Linked DNA regions of Kluyveromyces lactis. The protein of the gene in region 1 purifies or fractionates together with the protein of each later gene. This does not show direct contact. Links are inferred from orthologs where the notes say so. Each region holds a gene or a part of one and is shown on either strand. Other genes may lie near its edges.

What was found.
Region 2: the proteins of PSH1 (region 1) and POB3 purify together in Saccharomyces cerevisiae (affinity purification with mass spectrometry; 4 studies listed by BioGRID, with this or other methods). This does not show direct contact. The link is inferred for Kluyveromyces lactis from reciprocal best matches to the Saccharomyces cerevisiae genes PSH1 and POB3.

What each region holds. Positions count from the first base shown.
Region 1 is NC_006038.1:766,307-769,715, forward strand, and holds PSH1 (ubiquitin-protein ligase PSH1), read left to right. Parts: upstream 1-1,501; coding exon 1,502-2,593; downstream 2,594-3,409. Other genes in the region: PET111 (Pet111p), read left to right, coding at 1-1,031; COX7 (cytochrome c oxidase subunit VII), read left to right, coding at 2,946-3,134.
Region 2 is NC_006038.1:444,548-448,373, forward strand, and holds POB3 (FACT complex subunit POB3), read left to right. Parts: upstream 1-1,584; coding exon 1,585-3,252; downstream 3,253-3,826. Other genes in the region: DAK1 (dihydroxyacetone kinase), read left to right, coding at 1-1,142. UniProt on the Saccharomyces cerevisiae protein: Component of the FACT complex, a general chromatin factor that acts to reorganize nucleosomes. The FACT complex is involved in multiple processes that require DNA as a template such as mRNA elongation, DNA replication and DNA repair.

The DNA.
Region 1 (3,409 bases):
TCCAAGCGTACCCTATCCTTCGCACGGAGTTAGAACTCGAAATGAAATCATTATTTGATAACAGGTGGTATAAAAGGACGTACCCATGGTTATCTCGTTCCATGGAGCTGCAATCATATGAGAAAACTTCGGACGTCACAGGAGATGACACTTTTTCCAGAAGAAATGAACAACGGGTCGACACTAAACTTTTGAAAAGGGTAGAGAAGATCTTAGAAAACGGTCGTTACCGCCGTGCGAGAACGATAATAATGGATCAAGCCAGGTTAGGGATAAGGCCTAATTTTCAGTTCTTCTACACCTTGAAAAAGTTCTGTGTGAACAAAGGCCACTTACCGATGTGTAACATTTTGGATACGACGCTCAAGAGCTCGTATAGGACCATTCCTTTGAAGGTCAAAATTCTAAACTTACGTGCAAACTTGTACAAATTAGCATATCAACTACGGAAAGCACAACAACCTAATGAAATCATGAGATCTCAGAGTTTAAAAATGATCGAACGATTTGTGAAGGAGCATCAACGCGAATTGAATTTCCAGAACTATATCCAATTGGCCATGTTAGCGTCTCGATACAAAGGCAGATACCTATGTGACAAATTATTTGCAAAGAGCATTGTGACCAGGGACCCAACGGACAGTAGGGCTACTTATATCATATACAGGTCATTGCTTGCATTTTTCGTGAGGTTAAAGGAGCCAAAGAAATTTTTATCAACTTTAAAGAAGTTGAATAACGAATCCCATGTTATCGTCACTAAATATTTGTTGAGTACTGTGAAATACAACATCGCTTACTTTGATAAATTTAATTGTGAGGATACCAACGCAATGATAGTGGAGTATGAGAAACTACGAAAAAGATATGCCTTTACCAAGCTTGAAGGGCTAGATGCCATCAAAGAGTTAATGACGTATCTAAGAAAATGGTTAGATCATGAAGTATACAAGCATCAGACTTCAACTTATCAAAAACAGTTGGAACTGGAAAAGCAGTATAGAAAGGCACCCAAAGAGGTTGTGAAATAGGACACTGGCACAACACAAGCTCAAATAAAGAGCTGTTAAATATATTTCTCTGCGTCCTCGTCTTACCATTGTCATCTCTCCACTTGTAAATAGAATATCGGAGAGAATGAAAACTAGGCCTGACGTATATACCTTAGCATCAACATCATCAACAACAAAATTTAATTCAGCATTTCAATATATGTAAAGATATATGTATATTTATTCGAGAATAATATCCCAATTATAAGAACTCTTACTTAGCCGTACGCTATATCTTCGTCTCTTGTGCATTACATTGTTGCCATTATTTCGTTCAGTTTCTTAAAAAGAAAAGCCCTTAAGACCAAAAACAGGAAAAAACCTTTAAAAAGCTGCGATTGCGAAACAATACATCGCGAGATGATTAGGGATACATTATTCAATTGGATGGCAGGCGAACCCGCTTTATATTAAGAAACGATAACTTCGATCTTCACCTCATTATCAAGATGAACGGACATTTACATACGGTTATACCGAAAAAATCCAATGCGGATCATTTACGAATCGTGGGCAGAGTGCTTGATTCCACAGTATGCACGATATGCCACGATTATATGTTTGTACCAGTCATGACGAGCTGTGGACACAACTATTGTTACGAATGTTTGAATAACTGGTTGAACAACAATCGATCCAACGTATCAGAATTAACGTGTCCGCAATGTCGAAATGTGATTACCAATGAACCATCGTTGAACGTTGCCTTACAACAAATAGTCGATCTGATGCTAGATATAGCAGCGGAGGACCCACAGAAATCGAATTCCTCCGAAGTACGATCACTGCTCACACAAAGAGAATGCTCCGTTGCTGAATACAAGTCTGACCTGTTGGAAGAAACGCTATTCAACAGTGTGTTTAAGAATACTGCCAAAGCCATCATAGACGATGATGACGATGGGATAGCAAGGTGTAGCAATTGCCAATGGGAAGTTGAGGGTCCCGTGTGTCCTAACTGCAATGCTACGATACGGAATTATAATGCGGGTGCACAGAACTTCGACGAAGTTGATGTGGATGAGTACTCTGACGGAGAACTGGAAGAGGTTGAGAGAGATTTGGACAATTATAGAGCCGAGAGTGCACGTACTGTGCACGATTTGGAAGCCGAAGAGGGAGATGAGAGTCTCAGTTCAGAGATGGACCAGGCATGGCCCACAAGACGGCCTAGGAACTTTATGCATGGAGAAGAAGAAGAGGAGGAAGAGGAAGATAGAGGATCGATAGATTCGTTCATAGTGGATGAGGAAGAAGAAGAAGAAGAAGAGGAAGAGGAACAAGAATTGAAAGATGAACGGAAGTTCCGTAGAGCATCTGTTGCCCTCTCAGATGACGATGACAACGAATCTCGCGACAGTGATTTCTACGAACATAATGACGATGGATACGCGAGTGGTGACTCCCTTGACGAAAGTACTAGTAACGACGAACTAGAACCGCACACCATCCGTCTCACTCATAGTCAAGACAACAACAACAACAACAACAACAACTCCGCGCGTAAGAAACGTCTCATAGTCCTAGACTCTGATGAGTAACAATAACAGCGTATATACACCTTGTACAACCTTCTAACGATACTAAAAGTCACGTGTAAACCACCATCACGTGCAACAACCCCGCAGTTACCCTGAATGTCCCCGTATCTTTTCCCAGCCTATGGAGTTTTCGCTGTTTAGAGGGAAGTTGAATTTTCACACCACTCGAAAGCCAGTAGGGGAATATCAGATACTGAGATTAAAAAAAATTTTGGAAGAAATAAACTGTTATGATAGTTAGTTTACACTTGGTGAATACAGTTTTCGATTTGATTCATAGTATTTGTATATTTTGTTTGTTGTTCATCGATTGCCAATACATTTGTTTAATCATAGCCCCAAACATTGAACGATGCCTTCTCCAAGCAAAATTATTGAACTACAAAAGCTGTTCCAACACTCTTCTAAGCCATTGTGGTCTAGACATCCAAGATCGGCTTTCTACTTGTACCCATTCTGGGGTTTGTTTACTGTGGCCCTTGTTGCTCCATTGCTATACATTCCAAATGCTATCATGGGTATTAAGGCTAAGAAGAACTAAGAACTGTTACGTTGTGTATGAATGAATGAATGAAATCCCGAGAGGTTTTTTCGTTAATTATTTTATTATCAAGATACGTCCAAAAATATCCCATATTCACTTTCCCTTATGTTATTACCATGTTAAAAGAGCGAACGAATGAACGAAAATGCACAGCAACAGTATTAGGAAGATATGTTCTTTGCTTCTCTTGTTGAGAAATCTGTTTGTTTCAAATATATATATTTAATTCCAAGACCAGGTCAAGAAATGGAAGAATGGCCTACACCCAGTGT
Region 2 (3,826 bases), about 320 kb from region 1:
TTGAGACGGAATTAAATGAAAAGCAAATGGAAGTCGGTATGGGTATCCATAATGAACCAGGTGTTCAAGTCTTGGACAGCATTCCACCTTTGGAGCAGTTGATTGAGAAATATATGCTACCCAAGTTACTTGATTCAGAGGATGAAGACAGACATTTTGTATCTTTTGATAAAAAAGACGAGGTAGTTCTCCTTGTCAACAATTTAGGTGGTGTGTCTAACTTCATCTTAACTGCCATCGTTGATATCACGAAATCTTTTTTACAAAAGAATTATGACATTACTCCAGTTCAAAGTATTTGCGGAACTTTAATGACATCTTTCAATGGAAATGGATTCAGTATCACGTTGTTCAATGCGTCAAAGTCATCTGGAGCTATCAAGAAGGAGTTCAGCGAAGTAAAATCTGTGCTTGACTTATTAAACGACCATACAGAGGCGCCAGCATGGCCAATAAAAGATGTCGAAATGGGTAAATCTCCTACATATGACGAGGGTATTCTCGAGGATGTTATTGACGTTAAAAAGGCTGGAACATACGACTTCGAGAAATTATCGGAGCTGTTGAAGGCAGGTGCCGATCAATTGATTAAAAGTGAACCTCATATTACACATTTGGATAACCAAGTTGGTGACGGTGACTGTGGTTATACGTTAGTAGCTGGCGCTAAGGCAATCACTGAAAACTTGGATAAAATATCCTCCAAGTATTTGTCTCAGACCCTTGCAGAAATTTCTGATCATATTGAATCCGCAATGGGTGGTACATCCGGTGGTTTGTACTCTATATTCATTTCGGGCCTTTCAAAAGGAATTATTGAACAATGCGGAGAAAATGATGCGGTGGACAAAGAAGCCTTCGCCAAATCGCTAGAAGTTGCATACGAGACATTGTGTAAATATACTAGAGCTAGGCCAGGTGATTCTACTATGATCGATGCCTTGGAGCCATTCGTGAAAGAGTTTAGTTCAACTCAGGACTTCCATAAGGCCTTTTCCAAGGCGGAAGGAGGTGCAGAATCTACAGGAAACTTAGAAGCCAAGTTCGGCCGTGCATCTTACGTGGAAGACACTGAAGCAATTCCGGACCCAGGAGCTATCGGTTTGGTCGAATTCCTCAGGGGTGTTGATTCCAAATTGTAGATTCATTTTCAAATGAGCTGCCTCCTTTATTCTTTCCACCTAGTTATTATTTTATAACAAACTATATACAGCTTCCTACATTAACCAAATTTATGACCTAGCGGTAATTGCAGTATCATACATTGTTCCTCCGGCAACAGGGGGGTGGGCCTCGACCTGATAGTTCTTCGTGTGTAAAAACTGTCTCTTTTCCGTTCACTCCCCCATCTTACCTCTTGTCAACGTGACGCGAATTGGAAACTTTACTAGAAATGAAAATGAAAAATCGCCAAAGTGTTTAAGATGTTGTTAAAACATGAACAAATAAGAAGACATATGAAACCGTTAACGGTAGGCAGAGTTGTTAGCCCATAGTTTACGTTAGACAGGTCAGTATTACTGAAATCTAGTGATCTTCGTCTTGGATACCTACTTTTTATTTCTTATATTGGGATAGTGGAGAATGAGTACAGATTTCGATAGAATTTATTACAACCAATCCAAGCTCGGTGGACGTTTCCGTCTAGCTGAAGGAGGTCTTGGTTGGAAGGCATCCGCTACAGGTGGGTCAGCCTCTACTCAAAATAATGAACCTTTGCTATTGGCTGCAGATGAGGTTTCTTCCGTTCAATGGAGTAGAGGATGTAGAGGCTACGAATTGAAAATTAGTACTAAGAATAAGGGATTGATTCAAATGGATGGGTTCCAACAAGAGGATTTCAACCTATTGAAGAATGACTTCCAACGTAGATTCAACATGCAATTAGAGCACAGGGAACATTCTTTACGTGGTTGGAATTGGGGTAAATTGGACTTAGCTAGAAACGAAATGGTTTTTTCATTGAACGGTAAGCCAACTTTTGAAATCCCTTACACGCACATCAATAACACTAATTTAACAGCAAAAAATGAGATTGCATTAGAATTTGACACCCAAAATGAGGCATATAATCCTGCAGGTGATGAACTTGTTGAAATGAGGTTATATGTTCCAGGCACAGTTGAAGAAAATGAAGATCAAGATCAAATCATGGTAAAGGACGAAGCAGAAGCAGAAGACGGTGTTAAGTCGGAGGTTAAGACGGAAGAGGGTAGTGAAGAACCAGACGTTCAAGAAGAGAAGACTTTAGCAGAATATTTCTACGAAGAATTGAGATCTAAGGCAGATATCGGTGAAATTTCTGGTGATGCCATCATTTCTTTCCAGGATCTGTTCTTCACTACGCCAAGAGGCCGTTACGACATTGATATCTACAAAAACTCTATCAGACTTAGAGGTAAGACTTATGAGTACAAGTTACAACATCGTCAAATAAACAGAATCTTCTCTTTGCCAAAAGCTGACGACATCCATTACTTGATGGTTTTATCGATTGATCCACCAATCCGTCAAGGTCAGACATCCTACCCATTCTTGGTGTTACAATTCCAGAAGGACGAGGAAACAGAAGTCCAACTAAATGTGGAAGATGATGAGTTCGAAAAGCTTTACAAGGATAAACTAAAGAAACAATACGATGCTAAAACTCACATTGTACTAAGTCATGTCTTAAAGGGTTTGACAGGAAGAAGAGTCATTGTTCCTGGTGAATACAAGTCTAAGTATGACCAATGCGCGGTATCCTGTTCATACAAAGTCAATGAAGGCCACTTATACCCATTGGACAATGCGTTTTTGTTCTTGACGAAACCAACCCTATATATACCCTTCCAAGATATTGCTGCGGTCAATATTTCAAGAGCTGGTCAGACATCTACATCAGCCAGAACATTCGATTTGGAAGTTGTTATGCGTGCCAATAGAGGTACTACTACTTTTGCTAATATTTCTAAAGAGGAACAACAACTTCTAGAGACATTCTTGAGGTCCAAAAACTTGAGGGTAAAGAACGAAGATAAGGAAGCAGAACAGAGACTGCAGACTGCCTTCGGCTCAGACAGCGATGATGATGATGTAGATATTAACATGGGTTCTGCAGGTGAGGATGAAGAATCTGTAGATGAAGATTTCCATGCGTCCGACGAAGATGACGATGTCGCTGAAGAATTTGATTCAGAAGCATCCGCCTCCGATTCAGAAGGTGAAACCTCAAAGTCTGAAAGACCTTCCAAGAAAGCCAAGTTGGAATGAAAAACTCATATATCATGTATTAGTACAAATAAATAAATAAAAAACTATATACACTCCTCGCGGTATTTGTCGAATAATGTGTCTTTCTTTTGTTTGATTGACTAGTTCTTTAATTTTTAGTACATCTAAATGGCTTGACAAAAGAATAAGGGTCCCATCCAGAGAACTAAACTTCAAAGGGTTGAGAGAAGGATAATTTTGCTAAGCCCGTAAAAGTATCGACTGCTTTTTTCATGCTTCAATCATTTAATGGTTCTGTAAGAGTTATTCTATGACTTCTGGTGAAAGATCCTTAAATCAAGAACTAGAATGATGAAATGAATGCACAAAGAAATTTTGATCCAAGATAACTCGCTTCATACATTCGAGGTATATTAGATATTAGTATGATAGCTACAGACGGTACCTTAACTATAGAATATATCATAGAGATTCCTGGAGTTGACGAATTGTCCGGGAATAGTTTCTTTTTCACTATAAGAAAAGATTCATAGCTAAACGACAATGAAGGGTCGGAATTGACTTTGAACTCAGCATGAATGACTCAGGATGACATGACAAATATAGATAAATA